Pelodiscus sinensis: one gene and its partners. The protein of the gene in region 3 interacts with the protein of the main gene of each other region in a pairwise test. Links are inferred from orthologs where the notes say so. Each region holds a gene or a part of one and is shown on either strand. Other genes may lie near its edges.

Region 1 (7,287 bases), on a different chromosome or scaffold from region 3:
GATTAGTTGATAGGGCTCCTACACCTTTGAAGTGTAGCAACATTGTTGCTACACTTCAAAGGTGAAAGCCCAGAAGCCTGGGTCAACTGCGGACGCCCCCAGCTGACAGCAGGTTCTGTGCAACGCTGCTGCTGTGAAGTACCCCTCTTTTCTCCCCCCTTTCCCTCCCCACTGCCTCTATCTGATAGAGGCAGCAAGGGGGAGCAGGGAGAGAGCAACTAGTCAACTATCCTGTTGACTATCCGATATTTGCTTATCGGACAGTCGACTAGTTGACTAATCCTTCACATCCCTAAACCAGAAGGCTGCATAGAAGGGAGGCCAGTTTCAAAAACATTTAAGCCAAGTAGAGAAAAATATGCCCAAGATTGAAACCAGCACTATTCCACTATCAACAGAGTCACTTCTTCAGGGAAGCTGACACACTGAGTTTCTGGACCAACACTAGTCAAAAACAAAAGGACACACAAAGCAAATGAGGATGAAATTCTGATCCTATTATACAACGCTGATAATGGTGCAATATGAATAAGACTCTGAAAAGCTATCCCAGGACACACAGAATAATTTTTCCCAATTTAAAGAATACACTTCAAGGCAGCACAAACCAAGTATTTGTGTTTACAATACAAAAGGGAATGGTTTCCAACAATATTAGAAAAAGGTGTTTTCTAAGCTGAAGTTTAGAATAGCACATTGTTTAACTTTTTGTACTTTTTTTTTCTTATTGAAGAAGTCGATGGGTTTTATTTATACACCAATTTGCAAAACTGGAGCCAAAGTTGCCCAAGTTGTCTGAAGCTGTCAATTTCAAAACTGTCTAAAGGGCAAGAAATGTTTGTTTTTAAGAGTCTCTTAAGTTAGACTAGTATCAGAGGGGTAGCCGTGTTAGTCTGAATCTGCAAAAGCGGCGAGGAGTCTTGTGGCACCTTATAGACTAACTGAAGTGTTGGAGCATAAGCTTTCGTGGGCAAAGACCCACTTCGTCAGATGCCACTTTTAATTTAGACTAAAGATGATATTAGCAACAATTACATTTAAATATGTTGATTTTTAACTGAAGACGGATCTTTAAAGGTCCTGGAATTTGAAGGGGCTTTTATATTTCCAATGCCCAAAAAAAGCAAACAAGGATTGACGAAATTCAGGCTTGACAAAGGAGAGCAAAACCTACTTAAATATCTCAAGAATCACTATCGTAACTGAACACTCTGTTCACTGCTCAACTTAATGGTGAGCTACTGTTTCTCAAACTAACCATCAAGCGCCCCTCGAAGATGCGGCCGTGTAATATGACATAAGGAACAGCAGCAGCCTCTCTCCATTTGTGGCAAGGGAAAGCCCAGACAACCCAACCGAACCGTTTGCCTCATTAGCCCATGTTTTGTTCTATATTAGCTTTCCTGCAGCTAGGCGAAGGGAAGCAAGAAGAGGCTGACTCATAGACTCATAGACTCATAGACTTTAAGGTCAGAAGGGACCATTATGATCATCTAGTCTGACCCCCTGCACAGTGCAGGCCACAGAATCTTGCCCACCCCTCTTAGAATAATCCTCTCACCTATGTCTCAGATATTGAAGCCTTCCAATACTTTGAAGGCCCCAACATGCAGAGAGTCCTTCAGCTGTGATCTATGCCCAATGCTACAGAGGAAGGCGAAAAACCTCCAGGGCCTCTGCCAATCTACCCTGGAGGAAAATTCCTTCCTGACCCCAAATATGGCGATCAGCTAAACCCTGAGCATGTGGGCAAGACTCACCAGCCAGACACCCAGAAAGTTCCCTATAGCAACTCCTATCATCCCTCCATTGACCTATTTCCAACTGGAAATGAATGGTCAATTAGTTACCAAGATCATGTTATTTCATCCAACCATCCCCTTATAGAATCAGAACTGGAAGAGACCTCAGAAGGTCGTCAAGACCAGCCCTCCGCTCTAGGCAGGACCAATCCCATCTAAATCAACCCGGCCAGGGCTTTGTCAAGCCGAGACTTAAACACCTCTAGGGATGGAGACTCCACTACTTCCCTAGGTAACCCATTCCAATGCTTCACTACCCTCCTAGTAAAATAGTTTTTCCTAATATCCAATCTGGACCTCTCCCACCACAACTTGAGACCATTGCTCCTTGTTCTGCCATCTGTCACTACTGAGAACAGCCTCTCTCCATCCTCTTTGGAACCTCCCTTCAGGAAGTTGAAGGCTGCTATCAAGTCCCCCCTCACTCTTCGCTTCTGCAGACTAAACAGACCCAAGTCCCTCAGCCTCTCCTCGTAGGTCATATGCTCCAGACCCCTAATCATTTTGGTTGCCCTCCGCTGGACCCTCTCCAAAACAAAACAAACGTTCACGTGAGCCGGCAGCTGGGAGAGGGAAGAAAGGGGAGCAGTGGCACCTACTGAAGCAACCGGCCCGCGGGACCGCAGATAAGCAGTTTGCACAAAGCTAAGAGGGCGACAGGGATGTCATCGCACGAGCGATGGGGCGCAGATACCAGCTGTTACTGAGCATCTGTCGCAGGTGGGAACGGCCCGGGGACAAGTGTCAACACTCCCCTCCCCCACCGACGCGCAGCCCGGACTCGGGTGCCCCTCGGGCCAGAGTCTCGTCCCAGGCCACCTGCCCCGGCTGCTCCCGCCTCTCATGAGCCGGACTTTGAGACCCCCCCCGTCAAGTGACGGGCCCCTCGGGGCCGACTCCTCCCGCCAGTGCCCGGGCCCGGCCAGCTCGGACGCAGGCGCGGGCGGAATGTCACAGCCCGTGACCCCGACCCGGCGCCCATCCCTCGCCCTAGCCAGGCCTTGCCCCGACTCGTCCCGCGCGCCCTGGCCACGGGGGTCACCTTGGCGGCGGCGGCCCCGAGCGACGCCCGGCTGCTGTTGTGCCTCAGCCCGGCCGACACTCGGCTGCAGATCATGGACGCCGCCATGGCCGCCGAACCCTTTCGGCTTCGCTCGCCACCGCGCAGGCGCGTCGCTGCGACCATAGAGCGCTAGAGGGAAGAAAAGGCCAGGGCTCCGCCTCTCTTGACACGGCGTTCCCCGAGGGCAACGCCCAGCGGGGAAACTCTATGGTCTCTCGGAGGCCCCCGAGCGCAGCGCTGCCCCCTACCGGGGAAACTAGCCACTGCATGAACCCGCCCGCCTGGGACCGACCCCCGCAGGAGCGAGCGGAGCGCTTGGGACGAGTCTCCCCCCCAGGGACGATGGCTTCACGGAGCCCTGACCCGAGGCCCACTGAAATCCGTGGAAAGCCCCCCAATGCTAGTTGCCAGGTGTCCTGTTACTGAGTGGAACGCTTGGTGGAAACGGGGCCCTTGCAGCTCCAGTCAGCACCTCCGACCAGGAGGTACCAGTGCGGTTGGCAGGGGCTGGCAGCATGGGCAGAGGCAGTGAATAATGAAGGCAAGGGAAGGCGATGCCTTCCCAAATGGCTATGAGGGGCCCCAGCCACCCACCCATGCCTGGTCCTTCCTACCTTCATGCAGGCTACTCTAGGGAGCCTGCTGACGCTGGAACCACCCAGAGCTGGGGACTCCTAGCACTGGGGCTGTGTTGCCACATGCTAGGGGAGAAAATAGAATGCCTTCAGTTGATGGGTTGCTGAGGCTTGCAGCTCGATGGGGTGGGGGTCGGGTCAGGCCAAGAAGGCTGGGACCATGGGACTACTGGACTTCTCCAGGGGCTAGACCTACTATAATCTTTCCATTATTTCCAGATAGTCTTGATTTAGTATATCACATATACCAGTAGCTATCTCTATAATGAAAGTTCATTATTTTTATTTTTTAAATTATTTTTTACCACCACCAGATTACTTGACTGTGGACTGTATACAATACACGCACACAAACACAAAAATAAAATCTCTGACAAAGAGTTTACAATCTAGGCAGGTAATTCTGCAAATACTTACATGTTTAACTTTATGTGAATAGTTCCATTAACAGATCTATGTAATAGACTAAATGCACTGGGAAATTCAGAGCTGAAAATAGTGTGCAAGTTACTTGGAAGGAGCATTTTTCTCTAAAAGTAAATGTGAATTAAGAAAGGGAAGTGGGTTGGCAAATTATGATGAGAAGGGCATTCCACATATAGCACTAAAGAAAAATGTACAGGGATCAGTTTGTTTCCATAAATTATGTATTCCAGTGCTAGATCTAAACTGAAGGAAAGAAGTATTGGAATTGTAATTAACTGATGCAGTTAGCAATTGAAAATGCACAATAGTAAAATAACAGGATGGATTGCATTTTTTGCCACAGGCAAGTCTAATGTGGATTAAATCAGCTTTTGCTATGGCAACTACCGTAGGGTACACAGTGACTGCTGCTTAATTGTTTTGCTGCTGGCACTCCACTGTACCTGATGTGCTGTCATTATCCATTAACATTTTGCTGAACTCAGTAGAATGCTAGGATGCTTCTGGTATTTCAGAACCTCAAAGAATGGTTCTATATTGATTGTATTTGTACTCATTACATGGTAATGTGTTGCCAAAATTTCAGCAAGGCACCCTCAAAAATTGTCCAGCTCAATAATATATACGGTAGGTTTTTGGTAAAATACTCTTCTTCCCTGAAAAAAACAAGAAGTCCAGACTCTTTCCCCACCAAAATCTATCAATCCTTCCAAAGCTGCTCCTCCCATATCAATGAACCCTTCACCATGACCTCTCACTAGGTGTCATTCTTCCCCATTATAAGTCAGTTTCTTAAAGTTTCAATAAGTCTTTTCTCAGAAGGGTAAGGGCAATGTACATAGGGAGACACAGGGTACTGGATATAGCACTCCCTTCTGGGGAAAGGTAGGAAATATAATAATAATAAACGAGTTTGGTAGTAGTACTCATGCTGGGAGGCAGTACTTGGAATATATATAAAGGAAGGACACAATATTGGGAATCTAAACCTGGGTTATATCTTGCCTTAGTCACTTAGTCATTATTGTGACCTTGGGCAAAAACTCTCCATGCCCCATCTGCAAAATGAGGCTAATAATATACATTCATCTTTGCTCAGGGCCTGGAGATTTTTGGAAGGTAAGCACTATTTAACTACAAATGAATCTTAGTCATGATAATGTCCCCCAAATGGATGATCCATGTGACGCTGAGGTGATCACTGACACATTCCACGTTCTAACATGCCTGGACACCATGGTGAGGAACCCTACAGAGAGTTTTGATTATTTTTTTTCAAAGTGACATTATTAAGGGCACAAGAGCAAATGTTTCCACTACATAGGAAAGATAAGAAGTCTCGCAAGAGACCATCCTGGCTTACCCAGGAGATCTTGAATGACCTAAAAATAAAAAAGGAGTCCTACAAAAAGTGGAAACTAGGTCAAATACAAAGGATAAATATAAACAAATAACAAATATGTGGGGGAATGGTAATTGGAGATGTGGATTTAACCATCAAAATTTACAATGAAGAGCTAGCGAGGGTAGATTGATTTGAATATCTTGAAAGCACAATAAGCCAATATGGTATGTGATCTGAGGAAATAAGAATAAGGATCAGCAGAGAAAACACCTCCTTTGGTAAACTTAGGAACATTTGGAAACTTAATACTGTATCCTTCCATACAAAACTAAGCATCTACTCAATTGTCATTGTAGTCATAGCAACCTATGGCAGTGAAACCTGGCAGCTTAACAAAACAGATACTCAGAAGTTAAATGTGTATTATCATAAGTGCTTGTGGAGAATATTAAGAGGAAGCTATGAAGAAAGAAAAATGAACGATGAGGGTCAGAAAAATGGCTAAAGCAAGGTCTCTGTCTCAAATAATTGGTAAGAGAAGACATCGATGGCTACAGTATGTGTTACTAATGGATCATAACTAATTACCAATTATGGGTTTCAGTTGGAAGCCAAAAAATCCAACACAAAAGAGGGGGTAGACTTAGGATGACATGGAAATGCACAATTATCAATGACCTAAAAAAATTTAATTTGAAATGGGAGGAGTTAGGTCATATGGCAGCTGATAAGCAAGCATGGAAAATGTTGGTAGCTCAATGTGCTGAAAAGCATGGGACGGTCTAAGGATGTACGGGCAAAATTAGAAAGGCAAAGGCACAAAATGAGCTCAAACTAGGCTGCTCCTGCCAACCAGGCCCTCCAGTTAACCAAAAAAGGGCAGGGTGAGATGACAAAGTTTGCAAATGAGAAAAAATTACTCAAGAGAGTTAAATCCAAACCAGACTGCGGTGAGCTGCAAAAGGATCTATCAAAAATGGGTGAATGGGAAACAAAATAGCAGATGAAATTTGGTGTTGATAAATGCAGAGTAATGCACATTGGAAAACATCATTCCAATCATAGATACAAAGTCTTGGGGTCTAAATTAGCTGCTAGCACTAAGAAAGAGATCTAGGAGTCATTGTGGATCGTTTTCTGAAAACATCTGCTCAATGGGCAGCAACGGTCAAAAAAGCTAACCAAATGTTAGGAAGCATTAGGAAAAGGTTAAAAAAGAAAACTGTATCACCACTAAGGGTGAGGCTTACCAGTTAATCATTTACATCCCTAATTCATAGTTGAAGAACTTGCAGTCATGTAACTGGCAACATTCAGGGCTTCTATACCATCAAAAGTACAGAGGTTTTAGCCAATTTATCTTCTGAAAAAGAACGTCTCCAACTAAAAAGGACAAGATTATACAATGAATTGCTGCATACAGCATCAGCTGTGTTTGTTAATGCTGAAATATCACTGAAACCAAGAACTGAAGCAGAATCCTCCTTTTGACCAGTGCCTCAACTGGACCACACTGAGAATGCCACACTCAGGGCAGACTGCAAGTAACATGGTGGACACCCCCCCAAATAATGGTGATTTATTTTATAAATAAATTCCAAACAAGTGCCAAAATAGTTTCTGTAGCATTACACTGGTTAACAAGACAGCAGTTTAGGCATTCCAGCTTTTGGTTCCCATCCCGATAATCTGGTTTTATAGGATGAGAGGTTAGTGAAAAGCCAGTTCACTGTTCATGAAGTTCTACCAATCTCAAAGGATCAGACAGATCCTACCCACATATTATACCATCAGCCAATCCTTAGTAACTAAAAATTTATTAACAAAAGACAAAGTTATCAAACAGCTGAGTAAAACAGGTACACCAAACTTGCTCCTTTGATCAGTAGTTACATTGTTGACATCTTCAGCGCTGAGAAGCCTTTAATCACGGGTGGAGAACCTCAGGTCCAAGGGCCAGATGTGGTTCCCGTCTTGCTTGGATCTGGCCCCTGCAGCTCAGAAGCTCCCCCAGTA
Region 2 (7,979 bases), on a different chromosome or scaffold from region 3:
ACACATCCTCCCCATCCCAGTTTCTACCTGCTCTGGGGAGACTCCTACCCCCTCCCTCCCATACCATAGCAATTCATGATTGAGGCTCTAACGCAAGAGTGGCCAACCAGTTAGACACGAAGAGCCAAAAGGGCAGTGGATAGTAGTGCAAAGAGCTGCACATCCTTCCCCCAGAGCCAGACCCCTGCTTCCCCCTAACACAATGCCCCCCCCAACCCAGGCCCCCCCTGCAGGCCCCTCCCATTCTAACCCAATGCCTGGGTCTCACCGGAGCTGCCACCACCACAGCCATGCACTTCTCCCTCCAGGAACTGGGGCGTGTGCACAAAATGGGCATGTGGCTCCGAACGAGACATAACCCTGAGAGCCGCATTTCTGTGAGCAAAGAGTCGCATGTGGCTCAAGAGCCACAGGTTGGCCACCCTACTCTAATGTAGCCATGTTGCAACTTTTGCTGGGTGGGTAGGAAAATTCACCCTGATCTGCTGTTTCCTCATACCTACCTCACTCTTTAAAGGCAGACATTTTTGACAAACCCATCTCGAGTTTTACTCCCCAGAAACTAGTTTTGCTTTGAACTAGATGATTTTATTAAACCAGGTATAACCCAGAGGCACTGAAACCACTAACAAGGGAGAGTAAAGTCTGCTCTATAGCCTGAGCTGAGAGGCAATCAGCTTTTAGCTCATACTAGAGGCACATGGCATTAGCCCCTAAGGTTACAATTCAATCCACCTGTCAATGACCCTGGTCCGTTTGAATCAAAATTTAAACAAGGATTTACAGCAACCGTATGGCCTGTGTTATACAAGAGATCAGACTTCATAATCCTAGTGGTCCCTTCTGGGAATTTATGATTTGGACATTTTTTGAGCTTTAATGAAGCCTTTGCATTCTGAATTCTAGTAAAATTTTGGCTTAAAGTTTTCACTGCACCTTCCTTTCCCCACAAAAAAATCTGCTCCAAAGAGTTTCAGTTAGACACCCAGCACCCTGAATTCAAACCCATCCTTATAATTACAGTCCAGGGTTAGATTCAACACCTCACGGGAACTTCTTTTCCCAGGCAGCTGATCCCAGGCAGCTGCAGTTTCATGAGAATAGTGTGTTAGGTTTCATTGTCATTGAATGAGCTCCCAATGCTGGCCTGGTCTCTAAACCCACAGACAAACACCTCCCTCATGGCTCGCTTGCGTGTTATAGAAGAAATGCTAGAACAGTGGTTCTCCACCTTTTGTACTGATGACCCCCTTTAACACAACAAAGCCTTGGGATTAAAAACCACTTTTAAGAACACTGAGCAGTGTTTCTCAGGGTGCTGCCCCCTTATAAATTAAGAACCACTTTTATACATTTTTGGCACCATCATAAATGCTGGAAGCAAAGTGCACTTTGGGATGGAGGTTCACAACTCCTGATTGTCTGAGTGATCTAAACCCCCAGTCTGAGAACCCCTAAACTAGAAATAATACACTGAAAAAGAAAAATAGGTATTTCTTCCCAATCACTGCTCGGATGAGCATCGGTCTCAACTGCACTGGTGGGAATTCAACAGAGATAATGAAAAAGCCATTCCCTTTCTGTAGGGCAGGTGGGATTTGAAAGCTTCATGCCCTTCTCCACCACCAATCCCACAGCCAGTTTTTAAACCAAGCATGGCAAAGAACCATTTCCAGCTCAATAACACAGTAGCTTCACTTTCCAGCCAACTGCACCGGACCAACTCACCTAATGCCCTCTTTGCCTTTGCCCCCTAGAGCTTGGGGATCCACACATTGTAAAGGTCTCTTCTGTCTGAGACCCTGTGCTTATGAGCATCACAGCTTTACCCAGAGGGGCTCTTGTTGGGTTGCAAGAAGGAGCATCAACAGACTTAAGCAAAATCAACTGCTGGGATCAGTAACATAGAAGGGGCTGGAGGAGACACTTGAGAGGTTTTCACGGGATCATCACTGAGTACATGATGGGGAAGGAAAGACTGGCTCAGAGGCTGGAGGCTGTACTGAGATACCCTCTCTCACTGGGCCCAAATTCACTGCTTCCAACAGAGAGAGAGAGAGAGAGAGAGAGAGAGAAAGTGTAGAATAATCTGGAGGCAGCAGCTTTTGTAAAGCAGAATGTAAAATGAGCCCCTGGCAGACCCAACTCAATTTTAAAACAGCCAGGCCTGTGTGACCCCCACTTTACTCACTGCTTCTGGGGCTCCCGAGCTGCAGGGATCTGCCCCAAGGACTGACCACCACACAGTGTGCAGGGGACACAGAGTGAGTTAGAGCCGTGTTTCTCAGGGTGCTGCCCCAAACTCTCCCTGACACAGCAAGCTGGTCCCAGGTATCAGGAAGGCTGAGAGACACCAAGTTAGAAGAATCAAAGAGATGTGGGCTGACATGCAGCCCAGGGGAACGTAAACATCAGATTAGCTGCTGGCACTTGCTTCCTTCCTACTTCCCCAACTGGTGCACGTCCCCCACCTATCTGCAAACTGCCCTTCTCCAGGCAACCTGCCCAGCTGCATTACCCCCTGCCTGCCCCTGGCTCCTACCCTTCCCAAACCGCCCGCCTTGCAGGGCATCTTCTCCACTGCTCACCATGCCCAAGCTGCCCCCCTGCGCAGAACACACTAGTGGCCACCCCTCACCTGTCCCCACGAGCCCCCCCTTGCACATCTGCCTCCCGCAGCTGGCCCTGAACGCCCCCCCCCCCCCGGCATCTCCCCCCTCCCCATCCCATCCTTGTGCCTCTTCCCCTCTCCCCTCTCAGGCTTTACCTGACCCGCTGAACGCCCCGGAGCCCCGGGCTTTTCCCAAGCGCAGCCACCAGCTCCCGAGCCAACAGCCTGAGCCAGGCGGCGCCAGCCATGGCGAGGTAGGGGGCGCTGCGCCCCACTGCCCAGCCCCACGCCACCCGCGACGGCAGCTCCCGGGAGCTCGGGCAGGAGGCGGCGCGCGGAGCTGCGAGTGCGGAACCGCCTGGCCCGGGGAGGGGCGGGGCGCGCAGGCAGGGCTCGGCGCTGAAGGAACTCGAGGGGCGCTTCTGGGTCCCTCCCCCGCCAGCTCGCCCAACCCCAAACCGCTCGCGCGCAGCCCCGGCCGCTGCTGCAGGCGGGGTCCCTCCCCCCCCCCCCCCCAGCGAGCTCGTGCAGGGCCCCAGACCAGGCGCGCAAGGCGAGCCCCCACCTCACCCCCTTGGCACCCCTCGCTCACAACACGCGATCTTTTCCCAGCCGCCTCTCGGGGCGCTGGAACCACTCCTATAGTGGGGGGGGGGTGCGGGGAGCCACTGAACTGCATGGGGGTCCGTTCAAGGCAGGGGGGTGCAGCAGCAGCAGGAGGCAAGCCCCACGACCGGGGCGGGGGGGAGTCTCTTAAAGAAGCAGGCAAAGCGGGGGGAGGGGGACAGGTTGGGAAGAGTCCGAAGAAAAAGCAAAGCAGTTTCCTAGAGGGAATAATTGGGGCAAGGAAACGGGGCCAAATGGGCCTGGGTAAAAACAGCAGGAAGAGCATAGGAAGCGATGGGTCATGTCCCGAAAAGCAGCCAGCACGCACTGTGGTGCTGTGTAAACAATAAAGTCAAGCAAGTCAGCTGGCTGCTTGAGAGTCTGCAGTAGCTTCAGCAACTCACGGGGCCCCTCACAACTTCACTAGAAGCTCTCTCCCACTAGCTTGAGCCTTACCCATTAAACCAGCCAGCTGCCCATCCTTACAGGTTCCCCCATCCTTGGTAAAATTGAGATGTCCCTGCCTCAGATGGAGACACACCTCTGGGAATATTGTTCAATCATCCTGCCAGAAATGGTATGTAATTGGAGCTCATAAAAATGCTGATTTGCTTGCAGTGTTACCTCTATTTTTTTCCATCCATGTGGAGAACAAATTTTGTGACCTGCACTGAGGCATATGTGTGGATGTGCACCACCAATAGAAACACAGTGCTGCTGGTTGTGGGGGCTCGGCTAATCAGCTGGATGGCATTTGAATCTTTCCTGGGTGGCTGCAAGGTTTGCCCTTCCTTAGGTGACTACCCCATGAGTGAGGAATAGGGTATGATTTGGCTCTCCAGAATCAATGCAAAGTCTCCAGCTCTCCCTCTGCATGTACAAGGACACACTTGGATTATATAATACACTCTTTGTATTTCTTGGAAGCAGCATGTGGACACTTGCAGCTGCTTCATCTCAGTGTGTTAGCTGAGTGGCGCTGCTGCCTTCCAGCTTGGTTCCTGTTGTGAGAAAACTTCATTTCCTCATTTGAACAAAGAGCAGATTTCCTAGTCCTGCTCCAACTCCCCTTCTGGGACATAGGCACAAGCTAAGAGAGAGATGTTTGGAGGAGCCCCTTGTTAAAATAAGGGCATCACGTCACTGCTCTGCACACAGAACAACTTTAAATTAATTGAAGGGGGAGGAATACAGAGGCTGAGAATTTCATAACTCATCTGTCTCACCACTGTCCCAAACTGTCCCTCTTCCCTGGACCCTGCCCCATCATACACAACCGTCCCTTACCTCAGATCTGTGCCTTTGTATCTACTTCTCTTACCTGTTCCCCAAGCTACCCCACTTGCAACCTAAGGCCAAAACTGTCCCTTTTTTAATGTTGTGTTAGTCTTCAAAGTGCTACCATACTATTTGTGGTTTTATAAGTTTATCATTTTTTAATATTTGTCCCTTCCCCTATTCTCCAGACTGGCTCTCCCCTAACATCTGCCTCTCTCCATCTAACCTGAAATAGCCGGCCCTGAACTTGGCCTCTCTTTTGCAGAATCACCCTTTCCCTGTAACTTATCAAATGTCCTTCAGCCTGTTCACATTACAAGTGCTGTGATCACCGCCCAAACCTCGTGTCAAACATGCCATAGTAGTGATGCATCTCCCTGCCCATGTGAGCCTGTGCCTCGGGGCCCAGCTCCCTGTATTGCTTCACGGGATAGGAAGAGTAGTCAGGTGCTGCACAGCTACTTCAAAAACACCAGAGTAGCATCACCACACCTACGAGACCAAGGCAGCTCCAGACAGCAGCCCCTGAAAACAGAGGTACCCAGCTCTCTGAAGCACCTAGCCCCAAGGAGAAAACAGTTTTGGGCTTATAACATAAACCTGTATGCAGGAATTTCTGGAGGGGCGTGCTTTTTTTTGTAAATGTGGACAAGAGTGTGAATGCACCCCCCCCCCCCCCATGGTCTCCCAAGTAAGCAGGGAAATCAGCCCCAGACTTCCCCTGGCTGGTCAGAGCGCAGCGCTGCTCCTGCCTTCCTCTGGCTGGCCGGAGCATGCTTACTTAGGAGATCATAGGGGTGCTTTTGCACCCTTCACACCCTCCTGCATATGGGCTTATAACAGTAGCGCTGAACCTTAGGGATGACGGGTGCTGCAAAAATTGCTCTGATTCCCATGGTGCCTATGCTCCACAAATATTCAGGAATGTGGGTTCAGCTCCACCATTGTTTGGACCTATATTTTCTGAGCCATCCCATCCATAGGACAGACCGGAGCAACTGCCCTTGGCCCTGCATTTTGGGACACAGAAACCAGGATGGCCTGGGAAGTTAGCAAGGGACCTGGCACCAGTAGTAGTGACCCAGATGCAGACCTAGCCCTCCCTGCTCCTACTTTACCCCTTTCACCAATCTCCTATCCCATCCCGCCTCCCCTCTGCCCCTGGCCTGCTCCCACCTCCCCACCTCCACCCTTTCCCCCAAGCCCTTCCCCCTCCTGCCCCTGCTCTACCCTCATTTCACCCCTTCCCTCAAGCTCCTGCCTAGCCTCTTTCCAGCTTCTACCCACTTATCCAGAGAAATGCCAGCAGCTGGCAGGGTGGGTCCGGCTGCTGCCAGCACCAGGCCCCACCCACTAATCTTCCAGGTCACCCTGGATCCAGGTCCATTGATGGGGGGGAAAGGGCAATTGCCCTGGGACCTAGCAATTCAAAAGTGCCTAGGGCTCACTGCCACTGCTACCAAAGGAGCAGCAGTGGCCGGAGCTCCGAGCCCTTTAAATCACTGTTGGAGTGCCATGCAGTGCACTGCAGGTGGCTCTGAGAGATGGGGTTGTGTGGCATGGCATGATCTGGGTAGCACTGAGAGCTGGCTGTCCCAACCCTGTCTTCTCCACCCGAGGCCTAGCCCCCTTCACCTGAGACCCTGCCCCTTCAAGGAGCATGGAGCCAGCCCTCCCAACACATGCACATACTTTGTCCAGGTGCCCAGCAAGTCTGTTGGTCCCCCTGCCTAGAGCCTATGTCCCCCTGAAGCACAGAGTCCCCCCCCCAAAGCGGGGGCTCACGACGGTTGCCCTGGTCTGCCCTATGATGACTCTGCTTGGACCCATTCTGGGCACCACTAAAAATTATGCAAACTTGCCATGCAGGACTGTCAAATGACAGCAGCACTCACTGGGGGCTGGCATTTCAGTATCAGCCAGCACCATGCAGACATGAGAATTGCCAAAGCCCAGGCAGCATTAGGATAAAGTTTCACCACAGTTTTCTGGGGGGTGGACAGGACTCATATGCAGCAGCCTGTCTGGCCCTGCAGCCCCTTTCTGATTCAGTCGCTCAGGCTCGCGCACCTTGAGAGACTGCTCCTGCCTTCACTTTCCTCTTGCAAACTCAGTGATCTGCTGGCACCGATTCCTTCAACTGCAGGCTGGAGTTCCACTCTATGTCACTGAAGATGTACGGAAGCAGAGATGTGGCAAATCCTAAATACACCCTTTGATAAAGTAGGACAGAGCTATGTGAGGGCAAGTGGCAGGGACTCTGTCTATACCAAAACAACAAGGAGTCCTGTGGCACCTTAAAAATTAACACATTTCTTTGGGCATAAGTGTTCATGGGCTGGAGCCCACTTCATCAGATGCACAAAGTGGCAACTTCAATTTGGCAGGGATATACACATGCAAAGATGGGAGTGTTATATTACTAGGTGGAGGACTAGTGCTAACAAGGTCAATTCAGTCAGGCTATGTCTACACTGCAGGCTTTTTGCACAAGAACAGCTGTTCTTGCGCAAAAACTTGCAGAGCATCTACACTGCACACGCGTTCTTCCACAAGTATATTTACATTAAAGTATCAGAAAAGAGGGCTTCTTGTGCAAGAGTTATTCCTCTTCCCACAAGGAATAAGCCCTCTTGCACAAAAGCTCTTCCACAAGAAGGCAGTGTTGACAGGCAACAGGGGTTTCTTGTGCAAGAAAGCCCTATGGCTAAAATGCCCATCAGAGCTTTCTTGCACAAGAGAGCATCCACACTGCCATGGACGCTCTTGTGCAAAAGCACATCTCTTCCACAAAAGCACATGGCAGTGTGGACGCACTCTTGTGGAAGACTTTTTGCACAAGAACTCTTGCGTAAAACAGTTCTTGCGCAAGAAGCCTGCAGTGTAGACGTAGCCTCAGGGTGGATGTGGCCTGTTCCTAAAAGTTGAGAAGAAGGTGAGATTCCCAAAGGAGGAAAATTACTTCTTGCAGTGAGCTAGCCAGTCCCAGTCTCCATTCAGACCCAGGTAACACACCTGTCTTTCCATGTGCAGGCATCCCTGCCATATTGAAATTTCCACTTCGTGCATTGGACAAAGTGGGCTCCAGCCCACAAAAGCTTATGCCTAATACATCTGTTAGTCTGTAAAGTGCCACAGGGCTTCTTGGTGTTTTTGCAGAAACACACGTAGAATCCTAGCGCTGGAAGAGACCTCAGAAGGTCATCGAGTCCAGCTCCCTGCCCAAAACAGGACCAATCCCAACTAAATCATCCCCACATGAACACATCTTCTCTGAAACTTAGCTATAAAAAACCTGCCTACATTTCTGAGAGCCTCTGTCCACTTAGCTAAGTAGTGAACAATTAGCACTTATAAAAATCATTTTACATCTTTAAAGTACTGTACACACAATAACTAAATAATGTTACCGAGGGGCACCAGACTATGACTCAAGAGACCTGGGTTCTATTTCTGGTTCAGTGGCTGATCTCAAGCAAGTCAC
Region 3 (7,415 bases):
GCCGCATGAAGCCTGTAAACATAGGCAATATGCACTGGGGCTCCGCATGTTTAAAGACTACTCAAATTGCAGTTAGCCAGTTCTGTTGCTGAAAAACCAGGTGGCGAGCTCCTTAATCTCAGACAGACAAGACAGACAGACATTTCATCCACCAGGCAGTCTGGACTCAAGAGGCATGGCATACATAGTTCCTTCAGGAGATAAAAGGAAAAATCCCCATAGGGTAGGAAGTGCAAACGGAGCTCATACTCAGGGGGGTGTGGGGGGGAAGAGATGATTTGTCTCTGGCCCTTTTATCTCATCAATCCCCATAGCTGCACGTATTGCAGCAGACCAAAGCATGTGTCTCTTTCACTGATAAGATCTCAGCAACTCAAATTGTGCAGCTGAAAGCTAGGCTTAGTAAAAAAATAAATAAAAATCAGTGAGCTATGTGCCAGCATACAGTACTTAACTACACTGTCACTGCATACAACTAAACAAAACTTATCATACCAGTATGATTATTAGAAAGTCTTATTCACTATTAGAGCTCAAAACCAGCATGCACATTTTGCTTCCCATGCATTTTCTGAAATGTACATGAAGCATTTTTTAAAAGAGATTTTGGGATATCACTTTAAATAAGGTCCCTTATAACAGCATTTGAAAACCCTCTGCTCTTCTATAAACAATAATAAATGGGTTAAACACTGTGACAAAGTGGTAACTGTATCCACTGTTATGTCGCATGTGATTTCTACTATCCTACAATAAACCGTGTATGTGTTAAGGATGTTAAATTGCGTTTAATCCGCTAAACTGAGTAGTCGATGGAATTTCCACTAGGCTCTTGATACATTTAAGAGGCAAAGGCCCAGCATATGGGACCAAGTACAAGCAGGGATAGCTGAGTCCTGGCTTGCACCCGGTCCCCCGCTGCGCCTCTGCCTCTCCTGCCCTGCCCCCCCCCCCCCCCGAGATGTTGCTGGAGGGAGCCAGCTTTTAAACTATCTCCTTGCAGCACCAGCTCCTGCTCCCCACCTTTGCTGCGTGACTTGATTAGTGGCTTACATCCCTAGTGTGTGTGTGTCAGTTTCCCTGGGCACTGCTCCAATACCTAAAAAGAGATAGTGATGAGAATTTCCGTATCTCTTTCTTGCACACAATGACTGATGCTTTCTGTAACCTAAGCCTACGAAGGGCTGGGGGTGTAACCTGGTGACACCTTTTGCCAGGAAGCTGGACAAAGGCCAAGGCGGGGCTAACTGCAGGGTGGGGGTGGGCTTCCGAGTGGATGGGTTAGTCTCAGTGGTTTGAGGGTACAGGGGCCTTGGCTCTGAGCCTCCTGTCCCCAACTGGATTGTGCTGACTGCTTCTGGTTTAGGTGCTGACAAGTCTGTCCTAGGGATGTTAAAATGCATATAAGTAACTAACCGCTGACATTTTCAGCAGTTACACGTGAGGTGGCAGTTGGATCCCTGGGAGTCAGTGTGTGCAAGGAGCCTGCTTTCCCCACCCCATCCCTTCACTGCTGCCTCTGTATCAGCTCTCTGCATGTTCCAGAAGCCTGTGTGTAATCATGTACACGGTTACACTTTCACATCCCTAGTCTAAGATGTATCCCTGTCAAGTAATAAACCTTCTGTTCTATCTGCTGGCTAAGAATCATATTGGCCTGCAGCTGAGGGTGGCAGGACTCATGGTTAAGCCACCAGCCTTCAAGACTAGAGAATACCTCGGCAATGAGAATGTACACTGAAGTTACACTCAATCTGACTACTGTTTCAGCTCTCTTTTAAGAAGTGAATTCAAATGGTTTTTCCAGGTTTTTATTTTAGTTTGGACATTTGGCAGCACGTACATCTAGTGAGTCTCACTATTTCTTCCTATATTTTAAGGAAATAATTTCCTTCCTTCAATTTATTGGCTGTTCATTTGGAATTTTTAAAATAGCGTAAATTGAAGAGTCTTAAAATACAGGTAGAAAATATATTTCCAAACTACTTCTCAGTTTGGTTTAAAATTTCAACAGAATGGAAGTATATCCATCCTTTCCCTGTTCTGGTACCACCACCCATCAAGTCTTCACTTCTTCCATAGATATAGATATAAAATCCATCCCTTATTTCTGTCCTAACCAACTACCTAGCACCTTCTGCTGTCTACTTCACAAAAAGCTCCTCGCACCGAAATCCGCTGAAACAGGAAGAGGCCGAAGAAAAGGCCGCTAGGCTCTCGCTGAGAGATGACAAGAGCAGAAAACAACCCAGTACAGATTACGCAAATAGCGGTCTGATTTTACAACTGCATCCAGGGCTGGGCCACGCACAAATGACCCAAGCCTCGTGTGGCGTTTGTTTGGAAGCCGAGCTAACCCCAGCCCCCTTTCTTAGCGGGCAGTGGCCAACCCCACAAGCGTGTCAGAGGGCGAAGCCCTTCGGGTGCAGCGACCAATGGTGCCACGAGGGACTGCGGCAGTGGGGGCCGACAGGGGGCCCACCCGGCCTGCGGCTGCCCAACCCCTCCTGACCCAGTGTGCCGGGGGCAGATGTCTCCCTGCCACAGGCCCACAGGGCAGGCCCCGCCTCCCGGAAGCGGGCGAAAGGGGCAGGATTGGCTACGGGACCCCTTCGCTACGGGAGGCTGGAGGGGGTCAATTTTCGGTGCTCGCAGCGCCCGGCTGGCTGGGCGCGCTAAAGACGCGTGTAGGTAATGGGGGTGGGGAGAAGGAGACGCAGCCGCAGTGACTCCCTCGGTCCCTCCCCGGCGATTAGATGCTGGCGCACAGGGCCGCAGACGCTCACGTCCCCGCCACCGGCTGGCCGCCCGCCCGCAACACCCGCTCACCAGCTGGTTGGCGCTCCTGTTGTCTCCCTCAGCCATTTTGTACGCTGCAGCTGCGGCGACTGCGTCTAGTCGTGTGCTGCGCCCAGCCCTTCGCCGCAGCCCTCACACAGCGCAGCAGCCGCCCGGCCGCCTGCCCGCAGCCTTATAGACTCGGCTTCTGGAAGGGGCGGGGGAAACTGCTGGTCCCACCGCAACGCGGTGCCCGCCAATTTGATTGGCCGAATTAAGGGCTGGGTCAGGCCAATCGCAGAGCCCCCTCCTCGCCCAACGGCTACGGGAGCCTGCTGCCGTTGTTGTTTGAACACAGGCAACGGCCAATCAGATTCAGCCGAGAGCCGTTAACTGGTCGCTGGGCCTGTGACGTCAGCGTACAGCTTTTGCAGAAGGGAAAATGGGGGCGGGGCTTTCTCCTTTGGGGGGCGATGAGAAGCTCTCAGAGCTGCCTCCGTTTCCCAGCGGTGGGTGCGGGAATGACACCATCAGCGCCCACAGCTATGGGCTCCCCCATTCACAGCTGACAGGTTTTCCATCCAGGCATGGCAGCCTGGGCCATTAAACATCCGGTCAGCTGCTACCCTGCTGATCCCAGGGCCCCTGGGGGACACGGGTTGGCGGCTCCTTCCCAGAGCCTCACGCAGGCGTGTACCTTGTGTGGTTCACCCCCATTCCTGACCTTGCCGCAGCAGAGACCTTGGTACACGCCTGCCTCGAGAGCGCCAGCTTGCAGCGCCTGTTCCAGCTCCCCCAGAACCTCCTGCTGAGCGTCTGGCTGCCCTTGTCCCTGCATCTCTGTTTATACACACCCCAACCTCCTTGGGCCTGGCTCTGGCCTAGGCCCCCATCTATCACACGAGGAGGTGGCTGCTGGACGAGGGCATGCTCTGCAACTATGGGGCCTATTTCCACTCCTCCCTGATTGCACGTATCTTGGCAGAGATCCTCTTAACAGAGTCTGCTGGCTCCTAGGCAGTTCTGAGGAGCAGTGGGCACGGTCTGAGGTTCTCTGCTCAGCGTGCCCTTTGTTTTGAGCCTTTGACCTGCATCCCTGCCTCCAAAATGACTGATTTGTCATTAGTGTCCCAAGTGGTGCTGGGACCCTGCACCCATCCCACACCTAACCCCCTGCCACAGCCCAGAGTCCCTCCAATACCCAAACTCACTCCCTGAGCTTCCACCTCATTTTCCCCCCGCCCCCAACCAACCCTCTGTCCCAGCTGTGAGCCCCTGCCTGCATGCCAAACCTCTCAACACCCTATTAGTGGGTACTTGGTTACAGGGGCCTGCCACAGTAGTTGCCATATGCACAAAAACAATTCACAGACATTGGTCCATAGTGGCACAGCCGCAACTACCACTACGGCCAGCCCAGAAGAGGACTAGGCACAAGGAAATGAAAAGAAAACAGCAGAGTGGAATTAAAGACAAAGCAAGTTGGGGATGGTGACAGCTGCTTCTGGGAAGTACAACATCCTCTGATGTTACAGCAAGAACGTTTAGGGAACAACACATAACTCAGGAATGCAAAGTTCAAGAAAGTACTTCGGGGGATGGTGTGGACAGAGCCGTTCTGGCACACACTGCACAGTTTTGTCGTAGTAGGTGCAGTCCCTTTGCTTCTGGTAAATGGAAAAGCATCTATGGACAGTGATGTAATGGATGAAGCTAAAGGGAAGGCCAACAGAGGAACATGAATGGTCTGAATGTCAGCTAAACCACTTAAAGCCAACACCGACAGGTCGATCGTGATTGATCAGTCGATCGCAAGGCGTCCAGACCCCCCCATTTTCCCCCTACTCCCAAGAAGCCCCACTACCTACCTCCAGCGAAAAGGGAGATAGTACTGTTGCCTGGGCATAATACAAAATGGAGTCTGAGGGGTTCTTTTTCCCTCAAAGCAGTTTTCCCGCCAAAACAGGTAAAAGAAAGCTGTGCACCCAGCACTAAACCTATGCACTCAGCACCAAAGGCTGTGAACACCGCCCAATTGCCTGTGTGTGCACCCATTCTCTGCACACGGCACCCAAGTTTTATGCACCCAGCTCTAGTTCTCTGCACCCCGCTCTCTTCATGGTTTTCCCGCCATGAGATGTTTATATACCCTTGTCAAAGAGCATTCGTGTTCTTTGGCCCCCTTCATGTCCTGTGTGTGCGTCTGTAATCATCATTGCCCTGTGTCATCGTCTACCCGGAGGAGGCCAAGGTTCCAGCCTGCAGTCTGACAAGACTACCCACTGCTAGTGACGTTAACTGGAATAAGGGAAGCCTTTTCCGCTCCCACTAAGACTTTGGGACTTATAACACTGTCTCGCTTACGGATACTCGGACAGGATCCGGTGCCCACCAAGCGTCAGCTCGCAGGAGGCGAGAAGTATCCATCGAGGGATCGCTCCGTTTGTCCTTCCTTAAGGCTTTTCACTAGCCGCAAGGTTGAAGGTCACGGACATCGAACATCAATCGCCGCGTTGAATGTAATGTATACCCTTGTGTGTATGGGATTCTTCTATCTTCTTCTTTTCCAGGGTTAGGGTGGGACTGTTGCTGAGTTGTATGCTGTTTGCTAATGTTTGGTCTTACATTTAAAATACATGGTTTGGCCCTAAATTCTTGTTGTTTGGTGATTTCTAAGCTGTTTCCCTGGTGATTAGATACAGGATACCAGGCCGAATCTGGCTTCTGTGGGAGGGCACCTTAGGCTTTAATTAAATTGCATAGCCCATAGCACAGCAATTGTTTACCCCAGCTCTCCGGGTAACAGTTTGGCGACCGCGGCAGGACCTGGTGAGAAACAGCTTTGGTTTCCGCCAGGCCCTAGGATCACTCCCACTTATAGGAGTGGAGCCAGAGACAAACATCAGCAACAGTAAGCAACGAGATACGGTCCAGTGACTCGGGGTGGCATCTTCCCCGGGCCCCTATCCCTTTTTCTTCTGTCAGAGAGTGATATCGGGAGTAGCAGAGTGGGGACGCCCCTCTGGAACCCGATTCACCATACGGCAGCAGGCTCCCAGCCTGGCTGGCCAAGGCCTAGGCCCAATCCCCGGGAGCAGTTGGTTGGAGTAGGCCGCGGACCTACTTCCGGGTTTTAAACCCCTTTGCCGCTTGCTGCTTTTTAGGCGAAGCAATATAACTACTCCTCTGTCATTGTAGCATTTATTGTTGGGTGTTTTTGTGTACCGGTTTTCTAGCAAGACACCTCCGGCAGGCTTTGAGCAGTCAAGCCTTGCTATAACCAGGTGTCTTGGTTTTCTTTAGTGGAGGCTGGGTAAGCAGCCTTTTACAGCCATGGCAGCACCGCAGCTTTTCGGCACCGAGGGATGGAAACCGGCGTACAATAAATTGTCTGTTGAATATGCTTGTAAATAGTTATGGAACGGGAGCTAATCCCTGGGTGGATGGGTCCTTTAAAGGGGAAGATTCATTAGAAAAGTTTACTAACCTATGGGAGAAGTATATGGGAGCAAAACCTCAGCCTAAACGTAAACACCAAAAGCGGGCACTGCTGTATGGGCTAGCAATGACAAGCAAAGAGCTTGCCTCACAGCTTAAAGAGCTAAAAGCCAGAGATAATGAAAAGGAAAATCATCTAGTAGAGGTAGAGAATGCATTAGCAAAGAAGGTATCAGAATTAGAGGTTAAAGACTCCCAAGTTCAAGGTTTAACAGTTAAAAATTCTAGTTTGGAAAGTAAATTGATGGAATTGGAAGAAAAGAAAAGTAAATTGGAAAGAACCATACTAGAGCAGAATGAACAGCTTACAGATAACCAAGCAGTTATTAGACAGCTTCTAAAGGAGGCTAGTAGCTCCAAGGTTGCTGGGGACCACTCACAGTGCCAGATAGAGGTTGCTAAGTTAAAACAACAGTTAGGGATGGCTAAAGGAGTGATAGCAGCAATCCAACCTAAATACCATCAGGTGGATTGGCTGGGAGACTATGAAGAGGAGTCTTGTTTTCCTTCTGCTCCCCCTCCACAGTATCAAGGAGGGGAGGACTGTAAGGAGTTAGCAATTATGGCTCCTATTACCACAACTAGGGTGCAGTATCCTGGACAACCAGGCCCTGTTATAAAACAGGAACAGCGAGTGTTAACTCCAGAACAAGCTCGTGCTTTGGGAAGGACTATAGGGCCATGTAACAGGGAAAAGGTAGTAGACTGGATTGCCAGAGTGTGTGCTACCCCGAATCTGAGCCCAGAGGACATTGTTGTTTTGTTAAAAGAATGCATGCCAGTCGAAGATTATTTGGCTTTGCCTTACAAGGTGATTGGTAATCCTAATATAGAACCTAAAGAATTGTTCACAGCTGTCTACAAAGTTTATTTCCCTCAAGAGGATTTGATGGGAAAAGCTTATTCAGACACCCAAAAGATAGGAGAGAAACCTGATTCTTATATTATACGGAAAAGGACCTTATTTTGGTTATCTAACCCACAGAATGGTCAGGGGGGTGGCGTCTTCTGTGACACTCCTCAATTTCGACGGATGTGTTATCAAGGTCTACTCCCTAGTTTAAAACTGGCATTGGGAGCATATGATCATACCAACGCCCCGCTGTCTCTTTTAGAAGATCAGATAAGAGAAATTTATA
Region 4 (7,358 bases), on a different chromosome or scaffold from region 3:
AACGCAGCCTAAATACATCAGCGCTTGAAACACTGGAACTGGAGCACAGTCCCCGCCGCGATCCGCTAACCCTCTGCCAGCACAAGAGGACCTTGGAATCAATCCTGGGTTCCTCCGGTGGCTGAGAATTCGTTTCTGCTTACTGATTATTTTCATGCTATTTGCTACCACTCGTTGCCTCGCTTACCGCAGAGTTTGGTTCCAATTCCTCCCGTGAACTTATGGGCAGCCTGACACCACGCTTTTGCTGGAAGAGAAAAAGGGCCGTGTATATTATCGGGAGCCTTTCATACCCTCCTCTCGAAAACGGCGTGGCGCAAGTGTCCTGGGCTGCTCCAGACTGGACGCCTGGATTGGCCCCTTGTGTCTAACTTTCCCAACTCGAAGCGCAAACGCTTTCCGGGCAGCAGAGTATGGCTTTCCTAACGTCCCCATGACAGCACAACCCTTCCCCTCCCTCACCCCAAAGAGACCCCCCCAGCCAGATAAAAGCCCCCTGGAGTAGACTCAGGTTTATGTTGGCGTCGCTCCTTCCTGTCCTGGAGAATCCTGCGGCACCTTGGTCCAGTTCGAGCTGCAGCGGAGGAGCCTTTACAATCAAGCCTGCAACCCAGCCCTGGGTCCCGGCTCCTTTTGCGAAGCCCGAGGGGAGCTTGGTTGCCCACGTTTCTCTTTGCCAGCGCTGCCCTGGCGGTGTTTGGAGTCTCCCCAGGTAGTTCTTTGTTGCCTCATCCGCATCCAAGTGCGCGCTCTGTGGCGGGTCAGGACCCGCCTGGGAGGAACCGGACAGCTGGTTTCCAGCCCGCTTGGCTGTGGCAGGGATGCGGGCGCAGGTCGCGCTGGGCGCCCACCCCGGGCGAGAAGCGGCTGGGAACTTAGCTGCGGTCGGCACGTGGTGGAGAACTCATCCCCCGCCAGAGCTGCTCCGCGCTCCTACCTGTGCCGGAGGTCTCCGCGTCCCCCGATCCCTCCTCCGCGCCGAAGGACCAAAAGCCGGAGCCTGGCGCTGCCATCTGCGGAGCTGCCAGCCGTGCCTAGGAGCGGGCGAGCTGCAGCGAGCTGTGTGGAGGGAGGGAGAGTCCCAGGGCGGGAGTGTCCCCGTGTGCGAGCGCCAGGCAGCGTGCGCCGGCGCCTAGAGTGTCAGCGGCGCCCTGGCGCTCGCCGGGGGCCCGGGAGAGAGGGAGGCTGGCAGCAGCAGGGCTGGGGGCCGGGCAGACCGGGCGCGCGCGGCACAGGGCGAGGGGCAGAGACGCTAAGCGCTCTCCATGGTGCTGAGCCGCTGCCTCTTCCGGCCCGCGCGTCTCGGCCCAACGGGGGGGCGGAGGGTGACGGGCTCTCTCCTTTTATCCAGCTGGAGCCCTCGGCCCGGGGCGCCTGGGGCGGGGAACGGCGGCGGGCGCGAGTCACGACTCCCCTTGGGCTGTGGGCTGCCGCTGCCTAACAGCGGCTCGTGGCCACGCACAGCGCGGGGCCCAGGCGTCCGTGTCCAGGCAGCTTCAGCGGGGAGTGGGGAGAAAGGCTCGGCCGCCGGAGGGAGGCATTTGGAGGCGAGAGGCTGGCCCGGGGCACGCTGAGGCGCACAAAGGAACTGAGTTGGGGCAGCCTCGGGCTTGCGATCGGTCCCACGCACGTCTGGCCGGGGGGGGGGGGGGGAGCGGGCTTGCCTGACGGGGTCACACACATTGCAGTCAAGGCGCGACGGCGGGTGGCTGAGCCAGCTGCTGTTTTGGCGTCAGTGTGCGCCGGAGGGGAGCGGCCGTCTGATCTCACACCGCTACCGCGGGGTAGGTGGGGGATGTGCCTAGAGCCTCGGCTGTTCCTATGTCGCCCTGAGTCTGCTCACTGCTTTACCTGGGGCCCAGCCCCGTGCCCGCGCGCCGCTCCTTGGCTGTGGCTCCAGAGAGCGGATGAAATGGCCCCCTCCGGAACCCGCCACAGCGCCAGGCGGTAGCTGCTGGATTGCTAATGAGGGGCTCTGCGGGCCCGGGCTCCCACACGTGCCATTGGTTTGCAGGCCAATGTGTCTCTCTCCTGTGCCAAGGCCAGCGCAGCGGGGTAGCCAGCGAAGTCGATGCTGTGGAACAAGGAGGCCGCTCTGGCTCCAGGTCACACCCCGTCTGTCTCCCCGCAGTGGCTGCCGGGCTAAGGCCGATCAAGCTCCGCGAACCCCCCCGTGCTCTGAGCTCGTCCGCGGAGCGACCAGAGCAAGGGCTCGCCTGTGCGCGACGCCAAGCGAAGCGGGCAGTGGAGCCGGGCCAGGCGGGAGCCGAGCTCCAGGCCTGCAGCTTCCTAGGCCTGGGCCCTGCAGGACCGTCAGGGGGCGCCGCGCCGGAGCGGCCTGTCCAGAGCCCACCCGCGCACCCCTACTGCATCTGGGAACAGAGATACAAGTTGGCTTGATTGCAAAGGCCTAGCCGCATGCAAACCAGTCCTCACTGCAGCTCAACCATCTACCCCGGCCAGGCGCTGCCTGCCTCGGCTAGGAGGGGGAGCTGGGGTAAAGCAGAGCAAACCCTTCGGACCGTCCGTGGGGCAGGAAAGCGCGAGCCCCGCCGGAGGCAAGGCCCAAGCCCCGCGGCGAGGGAAGCGCTGAAACGGCCTCGGAAGGAGCACTCGCTGGTGCGCGTCGGGGCGGCCCGGGAGCACAGAGGGCGGCAGGGGCCGGCCCTGACATTACCGCCGCGCTGGGAGCAGCGGCTCGTGGCCTTGTGCAGCGAAACGCACGGCCCATTGCTGGGGTGGCTGCTCCCGGCGCCCCCTCCCACGTGCTGTATGCGAGGGGCTCGGGAAAGCGAGCCCGCCCCGCTGCGCTGCACAAAGCCGCGCCAGCAGCTCCATAACTGACGTCGTGGGGAGTCGCGCCCAGCTGGGAGACCGGCCCAGGCAGCGCTGAAAAGCCCGGCGTTGGTGGGTGGGAGGCGCTGCTCCGCTCCGCTCCCGCAGGCGGGGTTTAGGCCATGGCAGCCCCTCGGCTTTGCAAATGCCGAGGCCCTTCCTGGCTGGTGAAGGGGAGCAGGCGGGAGGCCAGCTTGGCTGGAGGTGGCAGCCCCCTAGGGTATGTCTACACAGCGAAGTTATTTCCGGATACCAGAGGTATTCCGAAATCGCTACCCTGCGTCTTTTGAACCATCTGCTCTTTTGAAATATGTTTTGCCATGTCTGTAAACCTCATTGTACTAGGAGTAAGGGATGGCTCCAAGTAGCACTGTATTTCAAAATTTGGTGCTGTGTAGATAGCACCAAATGACAAAATAAGCTATTTCAAAATACTCGAAATAAGCTGCGCAATGTGTACAGCGCAAATTGCATATCTTATTTCGAGTTTTGGGAACTGTGTAGACGCACCCCTAGTAATCCAGACCACGCTGCTTTCCCACTGGGTAGATGCAAGTTGGACAGGGTGGCTGCTGCAGGCTGGAATTGCATCTGGCTGCCGCGGGCATGGACTAGTGCCTCTTCCCAGCTTGCTCCAGGCCTTTGTCCGTTCTGCTTTGCGCCCCCGCCACGGGTTTCTCGTGTGCCAGCTGGAGCTAGCCTATGCTGGCACCAAGTCTGTAAAGATGGGCTTCTGGGGTGCGCCTACACAACAGGGCTTAACTCAAAATAAGCTACACAAATTGAGCTACATCAATTACCAGCTTACTCTGAAATAGCTTATTTCGAAATTGGGAGTGTCTACACAGCACTTATTTTGAAATAGAGCACTCTTCCTCCAACTTCCCCTATGCCTCATACAATGGGGATTACAGGAGTCAGAGTAAGCAGTCCTTCAGCTTGACAATATTTCAACATTATTTTGAAATAACTATGTGCTGTGTAGACACTAAGTTATTTCAAAATAACGCTCGTTATTTTGAAACAATGTTGCTCTGTAGACGTACCCTAACAGGTCATGCCAAGGACCTAGATGAACCCTCTGCCCTTCTGCACCATTATCATAGTGTGACTAGCCCTGAAGGATGCTGGCAAACAGGTGCCTTAAGAGAAGGCAGTGCAGAGTGCCCACTTTGCAGGGGAGAGCCAAATTGTAGCAGCTTTTTGGGCATCTTCTTTCCCCTACTCTTTGTAGATACAACCACTTAGTGTGTGTAGTAAATGTCTTATCTTTTCTCTCCTGTGCTCCTTTGTTGCACTAGCACCTCGCAGGGCATGGGAAGCCTGAAATTAACAGCCACCATCCGTTCTCTTTGTGGCAGTCACAGACACACACGGTGGGTGTTACCTAGAACCTAGTGTTCTCTAGAGTCTGCCCTCTATGGGGCAGACACAGCTCAGGCCCAGCTTATTTAGGCAAGATGGAGCAGCCCCGGCCTGCAGAGGGTAGTATATGCCCACCCTTGATGTAGTTCTTGGACAAATGCAGCAATACAGTTTAATTAGTTCCCTGTGTACAGACAGCTACTGACAGGAAGACATAGGGCTTGCCTCTTACTTAGTTGGAGGGATTGCATTTAATCTAATCAACCCAACTAACATCATGATTTCTCTGTACACATCCAGAGCAACTCTTGGAGAAAACTGGGATGTGAACAGGAGGGAGAAATGGGGATGGTGCCAGGGGTGAAGGGTAAGGCTGCCCTTCGTTGATGGGGCTCATTCACCTACTACTCAATCCAGTGGAGGGTATAACTGCACCTTGACTTGCCCCCACTCTCTTTTGGTTGACCTGGATGTTAATACATGCAGAAATGCTACTAACTTCATACTAGGCACAGTGCCTTCATCAGTTCAGAAAATGGCCGGCCACCCACCCATACACCTGTGCTAGGAGTAATTAAAACACAGCCACACCTGTCCTGATGTTTGTACTGTTTGTTTATTTTGCCATTTTAATAATGGAGAGAGCAATTTTAAGAGGACTTTAAAAATCAAACCCAGTATTTTCTAGCACATATTACACTGCAGAAATTTAAACATGGCTTTTAATCTTTTGACTACTGTAAAAGTACAAAGTACTGATTACATGTCTATGGAAAGAAGGCTAAATTAGAGTGTCGAGCATGGCTAACGACAGTGTGTGCAGACATCTTTACTTTGCTGATTTACTCCCACCAGAAATCACTGTAGTGGAACACCTGGCTTGAGTAAGCCACCAGGATTTGGCCCTTACACTGCTCAGAATAATGGCATGGTGAAATCTGCCATTCTTACTTTGTAGCTAAGAACATGCAGCTATTAATCACTGTCAAGCATAAAAGTTAATGTTCTAGTTATTTACATCCTTTCTCTAAAATAATTTATTTAAAAATAAGAATTTGGATGAAATGTTGAACATAATGGCTATGTCTTTTGTATATAGTACAAATACACTACTGGTGGAATTGATTGATTTAAATGGTCTTTGCATTTTAGGCAACAATAGTTCAATTCACATTTTCCTTCCCACTTCTCAGGGCCTCTAAAATTAAGGGTTCCAAAAATTCAATGCAAATTTAGAAAGGAGTGCGCAAAGTAAACAGAGTTAAGAGTTCACCATTTAGCCACAAAGCTCAGGGGTAGAAGAGGGCATTATGGTTATATTTCCCTGTATATAAAAATATTTCCAAGGTATAGAATATATAGAATACTAGCACTGGAAGGGACCTTAAGAGATCAAGTCCATTCCTCTGCCCTCATGGTAAAGGTAAATAATATATGCACTATATTGACCTTTAAACATCATTCCTCAGTAGCTTTACCACAGTTAAAGTCAATATGAAAATAACATACTATCAAACAACAATTTACATTTATTTGTATTAAGAGGACATTTGTCACATGCAGATTTGGCCCAAAAATTAGGTATTGTAGACCTAAAATCAAAATAAATGTTTCTTTTGAATTCTTTAAAGGTGACTAGTGAAGTAATCATTTTGTGCGTGTGTGTTAGCATTATGTCAATTGACTAGGAAATAACCACAAGAAAAAGAGAAACTGACTATTTAGTATGAAATGACAGAAGTGTAAAAAAGGAAAACTATATACAGGGAGAAGTTTTTGAAAAATATGTTCCGTTTTAGTAATCGAAAGTATATTAATATCAATTTTTTAAAAATATGCATTTTTAACTTGACAGTGTCCCTTTAAAACAGTGTTGGGCTGGAAACTATGGTAATTCATATTAACCATAAACCCGAAATATTAGTGATAATGATACAAAAAAGAATATGGTACAAAAATCATAAAAAAGATTAGACTAATAAAAGCCAAATGGCAGCAGCAGCTAAAATTGCTGGATAAGGCGCCGGCGCTGAGAGGTTTTCCGCAAGAGCTTTCTGTAGTCATAGGGATTATCTTCAGTATTGCTCTCGTCCAGGGGGCTTTCTGCAACCCTTGACCTAAGTATTAAATGCAGAAGTGCTTTAGAAATTAAAGTCAAAACATTTACCTACAGCAAACACTGCTAATTGACTTCTTAGCCTTTACCCTTAGCAAGAACAGCTGCCTTTCCAAGGCCTCTCCTGACTGCAGAATAGAGCTGGCACTCCAGATCAAATACATTGTAGCAGAATAGAGGAATGTTCAGAGAAAATATGCTTTTTCCAAAAAGGGGGGAATTATTAAGGACATATTAAAATAGTCAGGATAACAGGCAAGGCAGCTTTATTAATAGCTAAATCTTGCCTATTAACACTGGATCAGATTGTCAGCAGGTGTAAATCAGGTAGCTTCTGTTTTACACTTGCTGAGGGTCTGTTACAGTATAGACTCCATCTAACATTTTTCAGGTGGCAAGGGGCATTTTTGAAAGCTAGTCCTCAGTATACCTGTTTGAGTGAACTGAGGTCATTGCTGTGTAATGAGATTAATCATAAAACTATTGTTTGGAAAGTATATATTGTTTTGATATAAATACAGAAACATCTGGTGAACTCCATGTAGGAATCCAGGACTGAGTTCCAACTGCCAACAAACAAGTAAAGGCATTCACTTCTCTAGGACTAAATTGTGCTCCCCTTACTTACCCAGGAGCTTCAGGGTATAGCTGAGTTAGTCCGTTACAGAAAAAAACAGCAAGCAAATGGTCTGGTAGCACTTTATAGACTAACAAAACAACATCTTCCCCCCTTTCCCTTCTCCTATTTATTTCAAGTTTTCTTATCCTCTAATCATAACTCCGGTGATCTGAAGAAGTGGGCTGTGCCCATGAAAGCTCATGATACCACCTACATGTTTTGTTAGTCTATAAAGTGCTACCAGACCATTTGCTTGCTGTTTTTTTACTTACCCAGGAAGCCCAACTCAAGCACTGAATATAGAACTGTAGTTGATACTTAAATAATAAACCATGAACAGGGGCTAAATTATGCTCAGTTACATGCACCCTAGATCTGCAGTTACGCCAGTTACTGCAATACAGTTACTGAAAACTGACAGCA

What was found.
Region 1: the proteins of ARL6IP1 (region 3) and SUCLA2 interact in binary tests that used the Homo sapiens proteins (3 or more experiments, as listed by UniProt). The two-hybrid records come from large-scale screens. The link is inferred for Pelodiscus sinensis from reciprocal best matches to the Homo sapiens genes ARL6IP1 and SUCLA2.
Region 2: the proteins of ARL6IP1 (region 3) and ACSF2 interact in binary tests that used the Homo sapiens proteins (3 or more experiments, as listed by UniProt). The two-hybrid records come from large-scale screens. The link is inferred for Pelodiscus sinensis from reciprocal best matches to the Homo sapiens genes ARL6IP1 and ACSF2.
Region 4: the proteins of ARL6IP1 (region 3) and GAD2 interact in binary tests that used the Homo sapiens proteins (3 or more experiments, as listed by UniProt). The two-hybrid records come from large-scale screens. The link is inferred for Pelodiscus sinensis from reciprocal best matches to the Homo sapiens genes ARL6IP1 and GAD2.

What each region holds. Positions count from the first base shown.
Region 1 is NC_134711.1:288,709,840-288,717,126, forward strand, and holds the start of SUCLA2 (succinate--CoA ligase [ADP-forming] subunit beta, mitochondrial), read right to left. Parts: upstream 3,004-7,287; 5' UTR 2,989-3,003; coding exon 2,845-2,988; intron 1-2,844. UniProt on the Homo sapiens protein: ATP-specific succinyl-CoA synthetase functions in the citric acid cycle (TCA), coupling the hydrolysis of succinyl-CoA to the synthesis of ATP and thus represents the only step of substrate-level phosphorylation in the TCA.
Region 2 is NC_134730.1:14,006,053-14,014,031, reverse strand, and holds the start of ACSF2 (medium-chain acyl-CoA ligase ACSF2, mitochondrial), read right to left. Parts: upstream 3,005-7,979; 5' UTR 2,860-3,004; coding exon 2,768-2,859; intron 1-2,767. UniProt on the Homo sapiens protein: Acyl-CoA synthases catalyze the initial reaction in fatty acid metabolism, by forming a thioester with CoA. Has some preference toward medium-chain substrates. Plays a role in adipocyte differentiation.
Region 3 is NC_134726.1:20,312,449-20,319,863, forward strand, and holds the start of ARL6IP1 (ADP-ribosylation factor-like protein 6-interacting protein 1), read right to left. Parts: upstream 3,019-7,415; 5' UTR 2,866-3,018; coding exon 2,830-2,865; intron 1-2,829. UniProt on the Homo sapiens protein: Positively regulates SLC1A1/EAAC1-mediated glutamate transport by increasing its affinity for glutamate in a PKC activity-dependent manner.
Region 4 is NC_134712.1:225,581,945-225,589,302, reverse strand, and holds the start of GAD2 (glutamate decarboxylase 2), read right to left. Parts: upstream 3,007-7,358; 5' UTR 1,014-3,006; coding exon 938-1,013; intron 248-937; coding exon 188-247; intron 1-187. Other genes in the region: MYO3A (myosin-IIIa), read right to left, coding at 6,203-6,317. UniProt on the Homo sapiens protein: Catalyzes the production of GABA.